Linked DNA regions of Drosophila melanogaster. The protein of the gene in region 1 purifies or fractionates together with the protein of each later gene. This does not show direct contact. Each region holds a gene or a part of one and is shown on either strand. Other genes may lie near its edges.

Region 1 (7,626 bases):
ATAGCCGGTCGAAATGTTGGGAAGCACTACACAGTGCCGCCTAAGCATCTTCGGCATTTTTTAAATTTCTAAAGTTTTTTCTAAATTTGAAATAGACCAAACTTTTTGCCAGTGCAGCCGGTTTGATAACCCCCCATTGAAAGCTCTTTTTTGCCAGTCTTCAATCGGTTGTGGGCACTTGCAGTCCGTTTTGTTTTTCTTTAACGCAGATTGAGGGATCGAAGATCATCCAGCTGTTGCGATGAACCGTCGCCTTCCAGGAACCATCAGCCAGTGCCAGAAGCTTCTCCTAGCCACCCACAACCATGCTCCAACGGCCTTCTCCACCAGATTCCTGTCCACATCTCGAGTGAACCGCGAGCGGCAAGAGTAAGTTTGTTTATATAGCTGCGAAAGTTTATGACATTTTCCGCGAAACAAATGGCATGGCAAATCTATATCTATATCTACCAAAACAAATTGAATTAGTATGTTTAGGCTAGTAACTAATTAATGGCGATAACGAAGAGATAACTTGTTGGCCATGGTTAGATGGCACTGATGGTGGGTGTGGTCATGCGACTGTACTAATCTCCCTTGAGGTGTCTGTCATTGTATATTCCAGCAATTAAGTAAATCCTATTTTTTCCAGATGCCAAGTGCTGGTTGTGGGCGGTGGCACCGGTGGGTGTGCCATGGCCGCCAAGTTGTCCTCACGTTTGGGCAGCGACAAGGTGGTCGTCCTGGAACCGGAAGATGTGAGTAAGCCCAAAGGCAGTAAATAATCCATTATGACATAGCGCGATAATTCCCCATAGAAACATTACTACCAACCCATGTTCACCCTAATAGGAGGTGGTATGAAGAGATTGGATCAGAGCCACCGCCAAATGGCCGATGTGCTGCCCACAAAGGCCAAATGGGTGAAGGAGAAGGCGCTGGAGTTCGATCCGGATAATAATACGGTTAGCACTTCTGGTGGCAAGACCATCAAGTACGACTTCCTGATCATCGCCACCGGACTGCAGCTCAATTATGGAAAGGTACGTAGGGTATCAGTACGTTTAATAGTTGCTAATATCCATATCCACATATCCATAGATACCTGGCCTGGTGGAGGCCCTGGAGACCCCCGACAGTAATGTTTGCTCCATCTACTCGCCCAAGTACGTGGATCATGTGTACGAATGTCTGCGCAGGACCAACAAAGGAAATGCTATATTCACGTTTCCCAATTGTCCCATTAAGTGTGCAGGTGCACCGCAGAAAATCGCCTATATATCTGAGCACTACTTTAGGAAGGTGTGCATCATTTAGATAGAATATCTGGCAAACAACTTCAATTTGAAACCCTTTTCAGATGGGTCGTCGCGACAACGTCAATATCATCTACAATACATCGCTTCCCGTGATTTTTGGTGTTAAGCATTACGCAGAGGCCCTGATGAAACTGATCAAGAGGAGAAATATCACGCTTAATGTTCAAAGAAATCTCGTTGAAGTGAGACATAAAGATAATATAGCCGTGTTCGAGGATCTCGCCAAACCAGGAGTTCACTATGAGGAAACGGTAAGTGCTGGTCAATTAATTGGGTATTCTAGATACTATATAGATCTAGATCTAGATCCTAGAACTATATCTTTCTACTTAAAGCGAGAAATATGAAGAGTAGGTTAACTAAGATCAATTTTAAAGTCGTATAGTATTGCAGAAATAGGAGAATTGAAGGCCATGAAATTAAACTTATATAAGTATTATATCTTTCTCAGTACTCCATGCTTCATGTGACTCCGCCGATGAGCACTCCGGATGTGGTGGCCAACTGCAAGAAACTGGTAACCCCCACTGGCTTTGTGGACGTCGACCAGTTGACGCTGCAGCACAACAAGTACAGCAACGTGTTCGCCATCGGCGATTCGGCGTCCAGTCCCAACTCGAAGACGGCCGCGGCGGCAGGTAAATGGGTTGGGAATCCTGATCAGAATATTCAATTGATTTTTCACCTCCAGCCGCCCAATCACCGGTTGTGTTCAAAAACGTAATGGCGGCGATCGAGGGCAAAGCCCCAACGGATATCTACGATGGATACTCGTCCTGCCCCATCGTCACCGGCTACAGCTCCTGCATCCTGGCTGAGTTTGATTACAACCTCACCCCCGTGGAGACCTTTCCATTGGACCAGTCCAAGGAGAGGTACTCCATGTTCTTTATGAAGAAGGAGCTGATGCCGGTGCTCTACTGGAAGCTGATGATGAACGGCTACTGGAACGGACCGGCACTAATGCGGAAAATTTTCTCAGTGCTAAAGTTTAATAAAAAGCAATAGGGACCTCAAATGATCTTTAATTAATTTTAAAAGAATATTTGGCATCATCATAACCATTCCATACCTTAATATCATACTAATTTATAAACATTGTACTTTTAATTTGGTATGTGAGATCATAAATAAAAGTATTAAATTAGTTTAAAATCTAGTATATCTAAATATTTTAACCTATTCAAATGGCACGCACTGTACATAGCCTCGGTTTCAGTATGTATCAAGTATATATTGGAGCAGGGGATGGTATTTGCAGCATTAACCGCTTTCTAAAGTTCGGTCACTCTAAAACCAAGCGTGGCGTCGCTTGGCGCTGTAAATTTGAAGGTAACGAACTAAAAGAGAGATCGATTCCAGCAACAAAACAAGAAGAAACCCAACTCCCGTATATCAAATTAGTTGCAAAAACGAGCTGACAACATGAAGGCAGTGTAAGTGATATGACAGTTCCCGAAAGAACAACTCCATCAATGAGAATACCCATTTGCAGACCCAGGACGCCGATGCGTGTCGTCCCGAAAACTCCGCGGGTGCATCAAACGGTGGAGAAACAGCGACGAGACACCTCCGACAAGGCCAGGGATCCAGTGAATGTGTTCTGTCGAGTGCGGCCACTACAATCCGACGCAGATCTCACCTCCCTAAGGGTCAAGAACTCCACGACGATCGCACTGAATCCGCAGGATCAGCTGCTGCAGCATCACAAGCCACACAACGGCGCCCAGCGCGAGGTTCAGTACATATTCAAGCACGTTTTCCAGCCGGATGCCACGCAGCAGGATGTGTACGCAGCTGTGGCCCAGCCGTTGGTGGAGAACCTACTGAAAGGCCGAAACAGTCTGCTTTTCACCTACGGCGTGACTGGAAGTGGAAAAACGTACACCATGACCGGCAACCTGCGACACCGCGGCATCATGCCGCGCTGCCTGGACGTGCTCTTTCGCACCATTTCAGATTACCAGGCCAAGAAGTTCGTCTTCAAGCCGGACAAGCTTAATGGCTTCGAGATCCTGTCCGAAGAGGATGCGCTTTTGGAGCGCCAACACGAGATGAACCAGCGTTTTGCTGGCTCAGGACGATTTGCCTTCAGGCACAAGGACTCGGATCCGGAAATTGCATCCCAGGCCTCCGTGGAGCCAATTCCGCTGCTGGGTTTGGATGAGGACAACATGTACTCGGTGTTTGTCACCTATATTGAAATTTACAATAACAGCGTCTACGACCTCCTTGAGGACTCGGGTATACAGAAGTAAGTATTTATTAAGCATTACATTTAAAGAAATCTAACTGTATTCTTGACCCGACAGGACTTTGCAGAGCAAAATCATTCGTGAAGATGCCAATCGACACATGTTCGTCCACGGCGTCACAGAGGTGGAGGTCAAGACCGTGGAGGACGCCCTCGAGGTCTTTCAAATGGGCCAGAAGCGCAAACGAATGGGACACACTGTTCTCAATGCAGAATCCAGTAGGAGTCACTCGGTGTTCAATATACGCTTGGTGCAGGCGCCCACTGATAGCCAGGGTGAGAATGTGGTTCAGGACCGGCAAAACATCACAGTGAGTCAACTGTCCCTGGTGGATCTGGCGGGCAGTGAGCGATCCTCAAGGACCAAGAACACCGGTGTGCGACTCCGTGAGGCGGGCAACATCAATAATTCGCTGATGACGCTGCGCACTTGCCTGGAATATCTGCGCGAGAACCAACTCGCGGCTAGCAATGGATTGGCACCCAAGAAGGTCCCCTATCGAGACTCCAAGATCACACACATGTTTAAAAACTACTTCGATGGCGAAGGCCAGGTGTCCATGATTGTGTGCATCAACCCAAGAATTGAGGACTATGATGAGAATATGGTAAACTATTTTTCTGACAACAATGTACTCTGGTCCCTAAAATTTATTTATCCCGTTTAGCAAGTGATGAAGTTCGCCGAGATGACCCAGGAGGTGCAAATTGCTCGGGCGACTCCTATGAAGCAAGATTTGGGTCTGACTCCCGGCCGTCGCAAGGCCAACAAGCTGTTCAAGATTGCCGTTAATAATCTAAACGAGCTGGGCATTCCTGAGGCCAAGGATTTGGAGGTGGACGTGGGTTTGGTGTACAGTTTGGGACCCGATTTTCCCGCCTACGAAATGGACAGTCCCGAGGCACAGATCAAAATCCGCGAGCTAATGCATTATCTGGAGCAGCGCATAGAAAAGCGAAAGAAGCTGCGTGCCAACTTGGACATTAAATGTAAGACGTCACTTTCTTAATCTTAACATTGAAATACTAATTCCACAACTTTCAGGTGACAGCTTCCGGCAGATGCTGATGAACCTTGACCGCGACAATCTTCAGCTGCGCACGGAGCTCGCCTCCTTAAAGGCTGTTTACAAGCAGGAGCGCGATCGCAGTGCGGCACTCGAGAAGAAGGTTCGCATCCACGAGAGCTCCATTGACGTGCTTAACAATACGCTAAGCAAGCAAGAACGGCAGATTGAAGAGCTGACTTTCAAGCTGAACGAGAAGGAGAATATGCTCACCCAAAAGGAGCACGAGAAGGAAAAGCAAAAGAAGAAGTTCAGCTCCAAGCTGGCCGTTGAGTCGGACAAAAATAAGCGAGAGTTTGAACTAAAGCTGCGTGAACAGCGAGTGAAATTGCAGGAACGCATGCGCATCAAGGACGAGAAGTTGCGATTGGTCTCCAACATTCTGCAGTCCGAAGATCTGCCCAGTTTGCCGCGGTCACAGAGCTCGGAAAACATACTTAATGAGAAAGATCGCGGTGCATATACGGCGCGCACGGAGGAGTCCTCGGTGCCAGCTACACGAACAGATATATATGCAACGCCACGTCATGTAAGTGTATGATTAATCCTAGAATATTGCAATATCTATTGATAATTTTATATCCCAACAGGGTGCAGCAGCGGCCAACAATCGGCATAGACGCTCTCGATCCGCAGGCGACAAGTGGCTGGAGCATCGGGCAGCTAATCCCGTTCCGCTTGGCACTATTATGCAGCCGTATCTGAAGAATCGCAAATCCGTAACGAAACTAACCGACTTGAAGGAGTTGACTGCTCACGGAACTACGAAGTACTGTCTCGTCTCGCAGGATGCGGATACGGATGGCGATGTGGAGACGAAGCTGTATAAGGGCAATGTAATTCCCACTTGTGGCGGTGGTGCCCAAGTTGTGTTCAACGATGTGGAGTGCCTCAAGCAGAAGTCACCGGTTCACTCGCCCACGCGAAAGCGACCCAGCAATGGCAACATTTCGGCTCTGGGCGGCGGTGCAGTGCCCAGCACGGTCACCTCAGCCCAGGACGTAGCCTCCCGCTGCAATCTCGGCATTGAGGGACACAGCAGCAAGAAGTCGAAAATCTAAAAATGACTCAGCGTGGAATTCTCAAAGTCAATTACCCATTTAGTTCATAGTTACTTAGTTTCCATAACTTAAATTTAAGTTTATTACTCACCCACTTCGGTTTTTGGAGTTGAATCGCATTGAAGTGATTTGTTTGATTAAAGAAAAGTTAATCTGTATAAATAATCCCGTAAATGAATTCGCAACCCCTCGCAAATGGAAATGTTTCCTGCTCCAAATAGTCGGTACCCGGAGGGTATCTGCCAAGAGCAGTTGTTAGAAACTATCCAAGCATCGTCCAATCATAGAACTACTCTAGTGTTATTATAAAGTATTAAATATTTTATTGTTTTTCGGAGTGAACCCAACTCCAGTCCAGTCACAAAATGAACAAATAAAGTGAATTACGCGCATATACTGAAAGTGATCAATTTGGTTTTTATCAATTTTAGATTTTCTGGCTGCAAAGCTCCCAGAGTTCCGTGAAGCAATAACATGTGGCACATAGATGGTTTTAACTATTTTTATTATTATTCCTGCGTTTATTCAGATTTATGCTTAAACCGATAAATTTTATTGAAATACATACGGTACCATTACACATACATATTTGTAGATTAATTTCAATTACTAATAAATCAGTCTATAATTAAAATATATGTTCGCTTAATGATTTCACGTGTGTGAGTGTTGTTGTGTTGCAGTGTTCATGTTGCAGTTGCTGTTTCGTGGGTGTGAGTTGCTGCTCGATGAGTTCGGCAGATGACTCTTAAACGCTATGTGCGGCAAATGTGGCAGGTTCCTGGCAAATGAGGAATTTCGAATTTGGAATTGGAAGCCAATATCGCTAATGCTACTGCACGACAAATGAATCAAATCAAATGTAAAAGGGAAACAATCAGAACGTGATAATAGAATTTAGGTACATACCCGTTCAAGTACAATTAAACAAAACAAGTTGGACGAGACGAAACAAAACCACAAATGTAAACATAATAGGCGGCAAACTCAACTCAAGTGGTGGGCCAATATTAACATATCCATCTTATCCAAATTTCATTTAAACAAATTACAATTTAATCAATATAAAGCTCTGTTCTCATAAACGCTCTCTCAGGTTCACACGACGCGAAACAATTATTTGCATCTGCAGTTGTAAATCTGCGCTTTATAATACGTAATCATAATCATAATATTATCATTAAGGTAATCGATTCTTGCCATATACACAATAGCAATAAAAACTAAGAAGCGAAATTATTCTACGGTGGAAAACGAATTTTGGCTATGAAGCAACGTAATTTAAAAGGGTATTATTAACAATATACACTCACAGCCACAGCCACACCCCGACCACCCGACTACCCTACTCTTCTTTCCCTTAATTGTTTAATGTTTTTTGTGTGTGTGTTACGGTGTGTGTGGTGTTAATGGTGTGTGTGGTGTATGTGAGCAGTTGCGTTTTGTTGGCAAGGCATTCAACATTACGTTGCGGACCCTCACATCCGCGGCATCTGTCTGTGTGTGCTTTTCTGTGTTTGGATGAGTTTGCAATGAAATCTCGCTTGAAGCTGTATACTAGCTGCCCCGTCCCTGACCGTTCACCGCCTGAATCCAAGCGAGACGGCGGCGTAGGCTCCACCGGAAGTGCCCCACCGTCTCCTATGAGCACTTCACACATGCACCCTCAACATCAAAGTCGAGGACCATTAGCTTTGTTTCCTCCGTTCCGTTGCGGGAACCGACGGCACAAATGAGTTTAGTGTCGTTTGCTCTGAAAAGTTTTTAGATATAGTTAATTACATTTATAATGAGCGGATTTATATCGTCTTGGACTTACCTAATCCGCCACACAACGCCGCCGGATCCACCAGAGTCCAGAGCCACAAGATTACGTATAAAGTCGCCCGTCTTAACGTCCCACAATTTCACGGTGCCATCGTCGGAACTGGTCACCACAAATCGGG
Region 2 (8,673 bases), 8.3 Mb from region 1:
GCGTCCAGCGGCCAAGCCAACGATGGCAGTAATGCCAGCGGAGAGCACGATTCCATTTCCGGGGCTTTCGAATTGCGGGACATTGAAAGCTGCTGCCGAAAAGCTGCGTGGGATCAGCCCCAAAAGCTTGGCGTCGACTCCATGCCCCCAACTATTCTATTCGAAAAGCTATCCTGCATAGTAAAATTGATTTAAAATATTATGCGACTTCTTTAATTAATTAAAAAATATTTCCTTTAATATGCTTCGATATTTTAGTGATCAAAATAAATATATTAATTTAATATGAATTACCTTTTTTATCAAAATCTCAAGTTTTATTTGTGTATACAGCACAAAGTATTTAAAGAGTAAATTAAGTAATTTTTAAAAGATTCTGCCATGTGATTTTAGGCAATCGTTACACATGAAAAAGATTGTGAAAAAACATATGTTCTGACAAGTTAAAATAATAATAATCCAAATGTATAGCATATCCTAACCCTAGATATAACTACAACTACTCAGTTTGTAGTATTTTGCTTTGTCCATTCGTTTAGTTAATATATATCCTTCATCTATATGCTATTTCCGGTGACAGTCGAGCCCAAAGTCACAGAAGTGGCCACTGAAGACAGCGTTTCCATGGAGATATTGAACTTCTGCTTGAATGCCTGCATCGTGTCCAGATGGTAGATCTTCTGTGTTCCATTGCAGGGCCTCTGATCGATGGCCACGGCATAGAGATTGACATCTCCGCTGTTGGCCAGCAGCGTGGACATGTAGTGGGGCAAGTAGACGCGCTGCAGTTCCGGGGATTCCGAATTCTCCGATGCGTTATCCCCGCTGGCCATTTCCTTGCTGAACGACCGATGCAAACGGACTATCTGCACGCTTTGATAGTGCGATATGAATAGGAATGGATCGCGGTAAACAAATCCAGTGGGTGCATAGACCCAGTTCAAATCGTACGGCCTGGATCTGCAGCCAAACTCGTCCACAAAGACGCCATATTCGGCAAAGCAGAGCAGATACTCTTGTCGTGAGATGCGCACCGCAGTTAGGGGCTGGCACTTGGCAGTGCTCTCCATTGACTTATCGGACAGATCCACAAACTCCTCAGCCGCATAGTTGTCCAAATCGATCTCGTAGAACTTATCCGAGCTAACAATGGCCGAGTGACGCGTAAAGAATATGGATGTGACCGGCGTGGCCGTGTCCAAGGCTCGAACTGGCTTAAACATGTGCAGCTTAAGGTCGTACTTCAAGATGACAATCCTAGTGGACGTGGCCGCAATAGCCACCGAATCCAATGCGTTCTCCGCCTCATCGGAGATCAGCACTAGTTTCCATTTCTCCGATGGCGTGCGATTGGCAAATGGCAGCTCAATGGCCGACGTTTCCAGCACAGGCTTGTGACACGAACTGGAGCTCTGACAGCGTGACTCCAGCTGGCGGTAGTCACATTGATATAGCTTCTCGCCAACTGTGCCCACCATTATAGCCTTAGCCAGGCGCTTGCAAATGGACATGCAGCTCACCGATTCGAGACCAGAAATGTGCACCAATCGCTGCGAGTCCAAGTGATACGCATACAGTCCCGTGTTACAGCCCAATAGGAGTATTTGCTGCTCGGCCACTTCAAAGGCGCAGTTCACTTCGATCTCCTTCCGTGCCTGATCTTCTGCACCATCCGAACTGTAGACCAGCGATCCAATGTACTCGCCACCGCTGGTTGTACCACCCGCAACATCTACGCTATCCAAAGTCAAGCTGGAGACAGATTGAATACTGCTAAGATCATCGGCTGACGGTGCAGTCGGCTTGGTGGATCCGCAATGGCTCTGAACATTGGAGCGACACTTGCGATGCGTAACATCTTTGCACTCCTTGCATTTCCAGAACGGCGAACCGGCAACGACGGCCTTTTCGCAAACTACACAGTTGACGGCATCCACCTTGGACTCCTGCAGGGCCAGTTCGAAACGGTGATGAGCCTGGTTCTCAATGGTTACTTTAGTCGGTTTCTCCGCCGTCGTCTTCAGCTCCACCTGGCTGGTGGTGCGCTTCAGGGGCTGCTGCTGCTTCTGTGGAGAACGTGGCAAGGCAGCAATGCTTACGGGTCTCTGTTTGGGTGCATCGGAGTCGCCATTAACAGCTGCAGATTTGCGTGGAGAGCGCAAGGTTGCAGTTCCTAAAGGAAATATACAATTAGATACAAACATCAAGCGAAATCTAAAGAAATCCCACCATTCAACTGAGCCAACTGCTCCTTCAGCAAGCTGTTCATCTTTTGTTCTCGCTTCAGTTCCTCCTTTAGAGCGCGATACAGAATGGAAGATTCCACGTCATTGGGTGACACGTTCTCCTTGTTTGTGTGGCTAGAACCGAAAAGTTTGTCCGCCAATGTCTTTTTCTTCTTGGCGGATAGGTCCTCAACTTTGAGCTAAAATATAAATACAAAAATGTTTTTAATCTCATTAACTATTCTCTTAAAAAGAATATATATAAACTAGCTATACCTGAAGGTAGTCAATCAGCTTTTTGTGCTGCGCAAGTGTGGCATTCGATTTAATGTCCCGCTGCACGTAGAACTGCTCCTTCTCGGCCAAAGTGTCCTGAAGGGAATCGATCTCTGCGTGCAAGTTGGCTTGCGCAGACTCCAAGCCCCTTATCTCCGCCTGAAGATTGCCAACCTCCTCCTTCTTGTGGAACAGCTCGCTGAGAATTCTAGCATTTTCCTCCTTCAAACTAACCATTTCGCGATTCGAATCCGCAGTTTGGGCTTCGTAATTGGCATTTTGCCCATCCAAAAGTTCAGCTCTCTCTTGGGTGGCAAACAGTGCGTTAGTCTGCTCCACCAACTGATCCTGCTGCGCCACCAGCTTCTTCTGCTGCTCCTTGAGATTGAGACGAAGTTCATCGATTTCCGATGCCAACACTTGAGCACGCTGCTCCGCCAGACGCTTTTCCGATTCCACCGTAGTTAGTTGCTTTCGTAGATCAGTTAATTGATCGTTGCGCTCTCTGAGTTTCTCATGAAGGGTATCAAGTTGAGATTTCTGGGATTTATTTCGTTCCTGCTCCGATTTTAGCATGGTCTCCACCTCAGTTAGCTGGCTGTCGGTAATGCTACAAGCGTACTTCAACCTCTGGAAGTTATCGGTGAGTTGTTTCAGCTCCTTCTGTAAGACCAAACAAGAGTCATTCGCTTTCCTGCTCTTTTCTCGCTCCTCCTGCAGTTCTCGAATGGTATTCTTCTGTTCCAAAGTTACACCATCAAATCGCGATTGGATTTGCCTGAGTTTCTGGCGCAATTCCGTCTCCTGTTGTTCTAATCTGTGCACATTGGCCAAGTGCTCGATTATCTCCGACTTGCACTTCATGCGCTCCTGCTCGGCCTTTTCCCATTGGCGGTGCTCCTTGAGGACATCCCTTTTGGCGGCCGCCAGTTCCTGCTTCAGCTCCTCGATGCGAGACTCCCGCTGGCGAGTTTCCTCCTGTGACGTCTTGAGCATTCTCTGCGCTTCATCGCTTGCGTTCTGCACCTTTTTAATCCGATCCTCTGTGAGTTCCATGCGACGCGCCAGTAACTTCTTCTCGGACAAAGCTTCCTCGAGCTGTTTCTCCACCTTCCAGAGCGATAGATTCGCTGTACGCGCTGCCTGACGTTCCACAATCATCTGCTCTCGCACTGCTGCCAATTTATCCTCCAGCTTCTCGTTTTGCCGCTCGAGCATATCACCAACGGTTTCACCTTCTTGCTTACGCGATGAGTGCGATTTCGTGGGTGAAAGACTCTGCTCGTTGAAGCGCTCCAGCATTTGCTCCAGTTTGGTAACCAGCGTCTGCAGTTGATCGGCGCGTCCCTTCTGATGGTTTTCACTCTCTTTGGCGGCTAACAAGTCGGCGCGAAGTTGATCCTCAATGGCATTCAGTTCGGTCAAAGATCCAGGCGCAGTTTCGTAGGGGGAAACCTGGGTGGCTAGTGAGGATTCAGCCAGCTGACAGCGACATTCGGCAAGCTAGTTTAAATTAATTCATAAAGTATATTTACAAATTACATATCTTTAGGTTTCTATATTCATCGATTCAATCGAAAGCTATATGCTTCATTAAAAATCATTAAGACTTTAAGTTTGACACAAAATAAAAACACAAACATTCACAGCCTGCTAAGATTTCTTTTTATATAATTTTTTTTTACTCAATATTGCAGTGATTGAATTAACCAATGCAGATGAATAACCACCTACCTGCAATTCCCTCTCAAGTCGATGACATTCGGCTCTAACTTCTTGAGTTTCATTTTCCTTCAGCTGCAGCTTCGTCTCCAGTTTGACCTTTTCCGCATGAAGCTCATTATTGGAGGCGATCTCCTCGTTCAGACGCCGCAGAATTTCTTCGATATTCCGCTCGGTAGCGTTCTTCGCTTCTTGGGTGGACTTGCTGGAGGATATGGACTCGTCCAGCTCGGTGCGTATTTCCTTTATCTCCATTGTCATGCGGCGGTTTGTATCCTGCGAGTCGCGAACCTTTTTCCGGAGATCTGTTAGCTTTTGCTCATACAATTCGGCCATTTGGCGCCTCTGCTCCTCATGGTTTGTCTCGGACTTGAGATTCTGCTCCTTGATCTGCTGCAGCATATCCTTGTAGTTTTGCAACTTCATGGACAAATGCTTGCACTCTTCGAACTTGGCATTGAACTCCAACTCACGGGCATCTAACTTTTGCAGCGTGGATGCCAGCTCTTGCTTTTTGTCCGCCAATTGTTTCTCATATCGTTGCTCCGAAGCGATCTTGGCTTCTTCGTACTTTTGTCGATTAAGGCGAAGGAGATCGGTGATAGTGGCTTCCTTCTTGGACCACATTTCCTCGTCTATTTTGGCCGAACTTTGGAGTGTCTTAATTTGCGTCTTGCAAGTGGTAAGCTCCATTGTTTTCTCCTTGATAATCTGTTGCAGCTTCTTAATTTCCATTTTAGCATCGGCTACCACCTGAGATTTGTTATCGGTCTTCCTCAGCGATTGCTGAGCCCGCAGAAGATCTTGTTTCAGCATGGAAATCTCGTTCTCTCTAGTCTTCAGTTTCTGCAGCAGTTCCTTTAGCTTCTCCTGAAGCTTTTCATCGGTGGTAGCGGAAATTGCCGACTTTTCCATGTGCACAAAACTGTACCCAATGAATGGCAGATCCTTGCCACTGAAATCATTCGATTTCATGTTAGTCGTAAGGGACTTTTTAGCAACTCCCTGTTCTCTGCGAGTCTTATGACGAATTCCGTCCTCGAAATTGGAGGTATCATCGTCAGACCTAACAGTTGGTATAATCGGTGGAACCTGCGAGCGAATGGAACCCCACGGAATTTCGCTAAAGAAGGGGTGATTCTTAATGCGCTCATAGGACAATCGCTTCGAAGGATTTGTGACCAGTGACTCAATAAGATTTCTATAGTTAACAGACACCTTCAAGTCGGCGGGAAAGCTGATGAGCTCTTTAAGGTGACTCTCCTCGCAATGGGAGAGAATCTTGGAGTATGTCTCGTGTACATTGTCCTCGTGAAAAGGTGTTGTCTCGCATATTAACTCATATCCTATAATGCCCATGGACCAATAATCGCAGCTGACCTACAAAATGAGTTCTTGTTTTAGCTATGAACTTTCCAAACCAAACTCTGCGATCGTACAATTCTACTCACATCGTGCATCGACTTGGACAGCTTGTAGGTGGATATGGTTTGCAGCAGCTCTGGAGCTATGTAATCCGGTGTTCCCACCGGCGACAAACTCAGCACATGGCCATCGCGATCCAAGGCAGCGGCATTACCGAAATCAGCCAGTTTAATATGGCCAAAACGATCAATCAGTATATTTTCAGGCTTTATATCCCGATGCACATAGCCCATCTCGTGCAATGTGTGCAGGGCCACTGTGAGCTCGGCCAGATAGAAACGAGCCAAGTCCTCATCGAAAGGGCCGTGGCGTGACATCAAGCTGAGAAGGTCTCCGCCGGGCATGTACTCCATGACCAGGTACAGATTGTCGTTATCCTAAGTGATAAGTTAATTCAAGTACTGAAATATGCGAAAATGTGGAAATAACAAACCTGAAAGGCATACTGCAGATTGATTAGCCATTCAGAGTTGCGAATGGACATGATATCGCGCTCCTCCTTGACTTGTGACGTCGTCACCACCGACTTTTTGATCTTCTTCATGGCGTATATGTCGTTGGTTTGCCGCTCCACCACCAGGTGAACGTTGCCAAAGTATCCTTGGCCAATAAGCGTCTTGATGAGGAAGTCATCTGCGTTGACCCTGAGTTTGCGGGTCTCCTCTATGATGGGACGAACTGGAGTAGGAAATTAGATAGTAATATAATGGGTAACTAGGCATGAGCTCTATTTTCAAGGAGGGAAACCGGAACATACAGGTAAATCTATAAGAGATTCTACTCCCAATAATTTTGTGGGCTTTAATAATGGAATATGATTAGCAAAAGTAGATTCTCTGACCCGAGGAAGTAAAAATGTGGCTTCTGAGTTCCATTTCTATAGAATGGTAGATACTCCATCCGAAAACCCTGCTGACCAATGCAGTTGACTCACATTTGTTGACAAACTCGGCGATGTTGCGATCGCGCTTCTTCAGCGTATCCTTGTCGCACTCGTTGTACAGCAGACAGAAGGCGTCCAGGAGTCCCTCGCGGCAGATGGCCTCGGCCACGGCGGCGCTAGTGGTGCTCACGGGTACAATGCTTCTCCTGGTGGAGGCGGGAATACCTGATCCGGAGGCGCTTCCAGCGGGCTTCGCACAGACGCCAGCTCCTTTGCCCAGAATCAGGTTGTTCAGACGCGCGGTGCGCACGCTAATCGGCTCCATCTTGGGTGGCATGATGGACTCACTTTTATTTGCAATTTTCTCACATAAATAATACAATTAGAAATCCGTAAAATGCCAGAGCATTTTTCTGCCGTTTCGCTTTGAAAAAAATGCGCCGAGGGAAGCCGAAGAGCCAGGGATGCGTGCTCACTTTCCAGAGTTGTATTTAGGGTTGCAAGTAGGGCTGCCCTGTGAAAGAGGATAAAATTTGAATTTTAATGCAAACAGAGAACGGATAAATAATGAAATAGTCTTATTTACTTTTGGCAACCTTTTGAAGCGTCCCCTTTTATATTTTGCACAGTTTTGCACATAAACAGTTATTATTATTATTTCGCTGCCGCCGCCGCTGCTATACAACCGCGCTTTCCAACACCGTCGAGGCTCTCGCTCGTATGCATCGTTCATTTTCGACGGGTAGGTTTTCGCAGACGGACGGAGCAAAGATTTGTGCATCGAAAATTGCAATTTTCACATTTGGAGCCGTGTGTGCAGCATCACAGACATTGGAAAAGCGCTTGTCGCACTTGTGCAAAAACACAGCTTGATAAAGCAAACGCGGCTAGAAGGCGATTGGCCGCAAATTCGCCCTGGAACTGGAACGCAATTGCGTGTGAAAAAAAGACGGAAAAAAAGTAAAAGAGCAGAGACTGAAACCGTCGAGAAATCGTTGTCGTCGCGCTCGCTATAATTGTTTGCTTTTGACAGAGAAATTCGTGTGCCTGTTGGCAGAAACATTTAATAATAGTTTGTATTTTCGGCGTGAGTGCGCAGTGAAGCATCGAAGTAGTTCAAGATGAGCGGGGGATTACCGGAGTTGGGCTCCAAAATCAGCCTCATTTCCAAGGCGGACATTCGATACGAGGGCCGCCTGTACACGGTGGATCCGCAGGAGTGCACCATTGCGCTCTCGAGTGGTAAGTATTTAATACGAAAATCGCCCACGTCGCCCATATATGTACATATACGGGATATACATATGTGGGTGCCGTAATCTGCGCCAAAAAAAAAGAAAAAAAAAATCGTGTAAAAAAACGGTTCATCGCAAAAGAAAATGGATTCTGTCCATTTCTCTTGTGTTGGTGGCTCTACTCTTTCTTTCCTTTTGGTTCGTTTCTTTTTGTTAGTTTTTACAGTAATTTCATACTCGTGGAGACGGTGAGTGCAATTGCCGCCACCGCTCTCTCCATTACCCATTTCGACAGCCGTCTCTCGCTCTCCCACTTATGCTTTTTGTTTGTCATGTTGGCTTTGGCCTGTTTTTGTCTTTGGTTGTTGTTGTACAGTGTTGCTTTTGCAATTTACTTGGCACACATACACCCGCGCACAAAGTAACGAGCACCAGCAAGGCCCCAATGCAATTTGTTTATTTGCAAATACAATTTCGATTTGGCGCCAGATAACGGGATCCAAGGGCTCCCGTTACGGATGTCAGTGCCCTGGAAGTCGAAAAGGAGGAACGGAGAGCGGAGAAATACCGGCAAAACATGCGTTCCCCAGTTGAGGTTAAATTGGAAGCGCGGCCTAACCTTAATGGGTTTACAAGTTTGCCGCAATCCAAGTAATTCGTCTTTTGAACAATTGCATTATATAATGCGGTGCATTCATTTTAAAACAATTGGAATATAAACTTGAAAGATGTGGGCTCGGAAAGTTCCACTTATTAGATGGAGCACTTTTAAAAACCGACTTAGAATACCGGTTAAGCAAAAAAGGTAGCTTATTTGCAATGGAAAAATTTAAAAATTTAAAAGTTTAGTTTTGTGAAAGATCTTTCTTAAAGCAATGGAATAAAAATGGCGGCTGGGATAAGAAAA
Region 3 (5,448 bases), on another chromosome or scaffold:
GTCAAAGCCTTTCCCCGTGCCACCGATCTCAAGGTCCATGAGCGGTAAGTGATGAATCCACTATCCCCACTGTTGCTATCCGCTGTTTTTTCTTTTTTTGTTTCCTAAACGATTTTTGCCTGGACTTGCAGTTACCACACGGGCACCAAACCTAATCTGTGCAATACTTGCGGCAAGAGCTTCCACCGCGCGTACAATCTAACGATCCACATGCGCACGCACACCGGCGAGCGGCCGTACAAGTGCGACCAGTGTCCCAAGAGCTTCACGCAAAGCAACGACCTGAAGGCGCACATCCGGCGGCATACGGGCGAGCGGTACAAGTGTCCGCACTGCGATGCCTACTTCCTGCAGTTGTATAATATGCGCAATCACTGCATGAGCGCCCACAACAAGCACATCGAGACGAAGACGGGACGACTGCAGCGCACGGGTCTGCTAGACGATGGCGGTCAGTCGCATTTGACCACCGTCGTTATGCCGCCGGCACGGTATCCAAATGAACTCGATCCCCAGCTGGCGGCGACGGCTGCGGCGACTGCAGCTGGCGGTGCTGAGAGCACATCGTCGACCACCGTCATTCACTCGCCGGGTACATACAATGCGACAGCTGCAGCTCCAGCTAATACCTTCGATGGAGCCAACTTTACACCCACGGCAGTGAATACGCCTGCTCCGTTTGGCGCCTTTAACTTTCCGCCGGCCGTTATGGGTATGTAGGGAATAGCATCATCCTTGTCATAACCATACTCCATCTCTGTCGTTTTCGCTACAGCGCATCTCATGTACAACCAAGGAGGAAGCAGCCAGCACAGCCAGAGCGGAAGCGATGCGGGCAAATAGCTATCGATGCTGAAGTGCGTGATTCTGCTACTGCTCCTGCTCCTCCTGGGCTTCACACGGCTCCAACTCATCCCGAACATCAAACTATTCCAGTGTAGACTTAAGCTTTCCTCTGTACATAAACGGTATCCGAATTGGGAGGAGCTGTTGCACCGCACCGGGCTCTGGCCAATTGAAGGGTTCATCACTGGCGCAGGCACCACACGTGCCGCCCATTTTAATGTGTTAATATGTATTTAATAGTCAAATAAGAACTGCTCTACTACAGTGTAGGCGGTTGGAATCTTTTTATAAAGCTTGCATCAGTGCGATTGTATATTAGTATATTAAAATTAAATTGCACATAGCTCCCCCTCCCTCAAACAATTGACAAATTGAATTGTATATTAGTATATTAAAATTGAAGTCCAAATAGCACCCCCTCCCTCTAACAATTGACAAATTTAGTTGTATATTAGTATATTAAAATTAAAGTGCAAATAGCTCCCCATCCCTCTAACAATTAACAAATTTAGTTGATGATCAAATAAATCGTGAAAGCATAGTAAAACATCGAAATGTACAGCTATTTCTTTTTGGTGGAAAACTAGCAAAAAATTATTAACAAATGTACAACCAATTCCTGAAATTTACACACGAATTATGCTGAAAGAAATGTGAAATACACTCGAGTCTTGTGGTCAAGCGAAAAAACTCACATAAATTTTATTCTGAAAACGTAAAACAGAAAATAAAAAATTAAAATACATCAAGAAACTCCAACTGTTATGAAATAGTGTAGTAGGTACGCGTTAAGCTAGTCAATCTCCAGTGGAACTAGAACTGTCTGCGCGGCTGCACGATCATCAGGCTTTCCCGCGGCACCGGCAGATTGGCATTCATTTCCGCACGACGAGTTCGCGGCACGGCCAATTGATGACGCTGGCGCGGCAGCATCGAGGAGCGACTGGTCGGCTGAAATTCGTCATAGCTGACACCCTGCTCGGGATTCTCGTCCGTTGTGTAGTCACTGCTGTCGGGTGGGGCGTTCTGATCGTTGGACTTGGTGCGCGCCTTCTTGCTGGAACGCGTTCCAATGCTGCGCCTGCCCATACCGCCGCTGCGTCGCAGTGTGTTGTCCAGTACGCGAACACGTTTCAGCGGCGACTTGGTGCTCTTCAGCTGGTTATGCTGCTGGCTGGGCGCGAGCAGGTGCTTGGCTGGCGACGCCTTCATCGAGTTGAGTGTGTTCATAAGGCTGCGCTTGGCGTTGGGCGTTTTGGGGCCCGTCTGCAGGCCGGACGGATTCAGGCGCTTGTGCAGATTGCCCGTACTCTTGGTGATGTTTAGTGGACGGAGGTGCTGCTGCGACGGCGTCTTGCGCAGCGACATGGTGGAGCTGGAAAGGGTCGACATGTTGCGCAGCGTGCGCGGCGTGCGTGGAGCTGTCGAGCCCGTTGCCGGCGGTGGCATTATCTTGCTGGCCGATGGCGGTGCCTTCTTGCGCGCCGAGCTCTGCTGTTTGGCCTGGCGATGACGCTCCCAATCGGCGGCCATCCGCTCCAGGATGTTCTCGCCGTGCACCAGAAAGGGTGTGTTCTCCTGCGCCTCGTATGCCTGCACCAGTTCCGTGATCTGCTGCTCAATCTTGGGCAGCTTGGAGGTGATGGCCTTGCGCTCCTTCTCCTCCTTGAGCAACTGGCCGCCACGATTGTTGAAGCGATTCGGCTCGCTCGCCTTGGCCTCCAGCGCCTCCATGCGCGACCAGAGTTCGGCACGGCTTTCGTACAGATCGAAGATCTCCTTGTTCTTGTTGTAGAAGGTCTTGAGGTCGTCCAGCTCAAGTTCGTGGAGCTCCAGCAGATCTTCGTTGTACCAGTCGTTGTAGTAGTTCGAGAAGCGCTTGCGCTCCTGCTGGCTCTTAAGTGTGAGATCCCACATCTCCTTGATCTCGATGCGTAGCTGCTCGATGAAGGTTTTCAGATTCTGGCGTCGCAGGGCCTGGCAGCGCTGCAGTTCCTCCCGCAGGACATCGTAGGTGCGTTGAGTGTAGGTCGTAGCCTCGCGCACGCGACGCATGGCATACTCGTCTGTCTCCTGGAGTCTGTCCCACAGCACATGGATCTTTTCGCGCATATCGTCGATGCGCTCCCTCAGCTCCTTCACCTGGTCGGCGAAGTTCTTTTGCATGTTGCGCAGGAGCTCGAAGGTCTCCGGCGTTAGGCAGTGATCCACCTGGTTGAGCAGACGCTCCTCGGTGTCCGTCTGGGGCAGGCACTCAAGCAGCTTCATGTCGTGCTTAATGGCCTGGCGCAGCTGGTCCATCTCTTTGAGGCGCAGCACTCGCTGATCGCGTAGCTGGCCCAGGCGATTCCGAAAGGCGTCCATCTCCTCGGGCAGCGGCAGTGGATCCGCCAACAGTGGCAGAGGCAGCTCTCCCAGTTCCTCGCACAGCTGCTCCTGCTGCAGCAGAAGCTCACAGATCTCCGCTCGCCGCCTGGCCAGCTGATCGCGTAAGTGCTCGATGCTTTTGTCCAGCTTCAGCTCCCAGACGACCAGCGGCATGGACTCCGGCCGCTCGCCAATGTCCAGCGGCTCGTGGAGTAGGCGCGTCAAGTCGGTGGCCTCTGCCCGCAAGGCGGCTATATCGTTGAGGATCGCCTGCTGCTTTTCGCGCGACTCATTGAGCAAATCCGTGAAGAAGCTGTTCGCATGGTCCTTCAACCGGAGGAGGAACTCACCGCAGGTCTTGACCTCGAACAACTGCGACCACATCGCGTGCAACTGATCCACGTGCTCGCCCGTCATCTCCAGGATCTGGGCCTTCACCGCAATGGCGCTCGGCGAGTTCATTTTCTCCGTTTTCGTTGTGAAATTTGTGTTTTTTTTTTTTTGTTCAAAATTTCTTTTCTTGCGTAAATGCTCACTGGCTTTGTTTTTTCGTTGTGTTCACTTGGGGACTATTTAACCAGCATATCTGAGTTAACTTGACAGTTGTGTCGCAGACCCACAACGCTGGGCAGGATTGCTCGGGAATGTGCGGATTTATTTAGTGGTTTATTTAGAGTGCATCACTGCACGAAATTTCGAACTGAATGAATCGATGACGCTAGACAGAAATTTCGGTAAATTCAAATTGAAATGGCGGCCAAGAGTGTTGCCACCGCGTTGTGGGACAGCATTGCCACGCGGCGGTAACTTCTGGTAAAACCAGGGCTGGAGCATACGCCACTTTTTTGAATATTTAAAATTCGTTATTTGGTTTATTAGCAAATTAAAATATCTATTTTAATTATTTTGCTCCTTAAAAACGTATTATATTCTCTTATATGCGCTTAGTAAACATCCCACAGACTTTAGAAAACCCTTCCCACACATGTATATTTTGGTAAAATTGAAATCAAGTAATTTATAATGTAAACAAGCGTTTTTATCTGACTAAAAATTTAAAATGTGGACAATTGTTCATTTACTTCTTGCCGTCACAGGTAGTGCAAAATAGTTAAAAGAATTTTAAAGTTGTAAATTTAGATAGTCTTTGCGCTAGGAAAAGCCCTAACACTATACATATGTGTATACATATAAATACGATGAGTCTGCAATTGCGAGCCAAATACTTCAGTACAGGTAATAGATATAGAACACAGATCAGTTGCCGAAATGATTGCCATTGGATGTGATTAGAGTCTAGCTCCATTATATGGCCACGACCGCCTCCTCGTCGGGACTCTCGTTCTCCTCGCCGGACGGCGGACGCACATGGATTTTTGGTATGGGACGAATTTTCTGGGGATTCCTGCTCCCTGTGCTCGGCCTGCCGGATCCCTTGCCCCGACGCACCGAGTATTCCAGCACGCGCACCTTCCTCTGCGGCGACTTGAGCAGCTTCTGCCCATTCACACAGACCTTGCGACTTGCATTGTTGCACTCCAGCGATGCGATTAGATTTCGCTTGGCCGCTGCTGCCGGCTGTGGACTATTGGTGTTGTGATGCTGTGGATGCCGTCTCTTGTGCAGATTCCCTGTGCTCATTGCCGTGGTGCTGGCATTTGCCTTGGTCGGCGTCTTCTTCAACGAGGATGTGGATCCATGGATGCCCCGGTTGCTCTTCTGCGTATTGGGCGTAAGAGGCACCATTGGCGGCTTCATTTGGCCGCTCGTATTGCTGCCATCCTTCTTCTGGGCGGAGGGCTGCTTTTTGGACTGTCGATGCCGCTCCCAGTCCGCCGACATGCGCTCCAGTATATCCACGCCGTGCACCAGGAACGGCGTGTGCGTTTCACTCATGTAGACCTGCACCAGTTCGGTGATTTGTTGATCGATCTTGGGCAGACGGGACATGATAGTCTTGCGCTCCTTCTCCTCCTTGAGCAGCTGTCCACCGCGATTGTTGAACCGATTTGGATCGTTGGCCTTGGCCTCCAGGGCCTCCATGCGCGTCCATAGCTCGCCTCGATTCGCGTATAGCTCAAATATCTTCCTGTTGCTGTTGTAGAACTCCTTAAGGTTGTCCAGCTCCTTCTCGAACTGCTCGAGAACATCTTCGGTCTGCGTATCACAGTAGTAGGTGGTGAAGCGCCTGCGCTCCTCGGTGCTTTTCAGTGAAAGATCCCACCACTCGTTGAT

The links. The genes of interacting proteins can lie anywhere in the genome.
Region 2: the proteins of pav (region 1) and sti purify together in Drosophila melanogaster (affinity purification with western blotting; one study listed by BioGRID). This does not show direct contact.
Region 3: the proteins of pav (region 1) and feo purify together in Drosophila melanogaster (affinity purification with western blotting, with the first as the bait; one study listed by BioGRID). This does not show direct contact.

What each region holds. Positions count from the first base shown.
Region 1 is NT_037436.4:4,240,155-4,247,780, forward strand, and holds pav (pavarotti), read left to right. Parts: upstream 1-2,579; 5' UTR 2,580-2,723; coding exon 2,724-2,734; intron 2,735-2,793; coding exon 2,794-3,552; intron 3,553-3,610; coding exon 3,611-4,160; intron 4,161-4,220; coding exon 4,221-4,542; intron 4,543-4,597; coding exon 4,598-5,148; intron 5,149-5,209; coding exon 5,210-5,680; 3' UTR 5,681-6,079; downstream 6,080-7,626. Other genes in the region: Sqor (sulfide quinone oxidoreductase), read left to right, coding at 242-369, 632-737, 798-1,022, 1,081-1,281, 1,340-1,549, 1,750-1,936, 1,990-2,306; ago (archipelago), read right to left, coding at 7,322-7,433, 7,500-7,626.
Region 2 is NT_037436.4:12,507,800-12,516,472, forward strand, and holds sti (sticky), read right to left. Parts: upstream 7,017-8,673; 5' UTR 6,869-7,016; coding exon 6,583-6,868; intron 6,327-6,582; coding exon 6,082-6,326; intron 6,026-6,081; coding exon 5,663-6,025; intron 5,604-5,662; coding exon 4,236-5,603; intron 4,005-4,235; coding exon 2,502-4,004; intron 2,426-2,501; coding exon 2,230-2,425; intron 2,174-2,229; coding exon 558-2,173; 3' UTR 199-557; downstream 1-198. Other genes in the region: tral (trailer hitch), read left to right, coding at 7,653-7,773.
Region 3 is NC_004354.4:10,850,930-10,856,377, forward strand, and holds feo (fascetto), read right to left. Parts: upstream 3,941-5,448; 5' UTR 3,676-3,940; coding exon 1,660-3,675; 3' UTR 1,517-1,659; downstream 1-1,516. Other genes in the region: CG2202 (uncharacterized protein), read left to right, coding at 1-44, 132-712, 776-843; sofe (sister of feo), read right to left, coding at 4,519-5,448.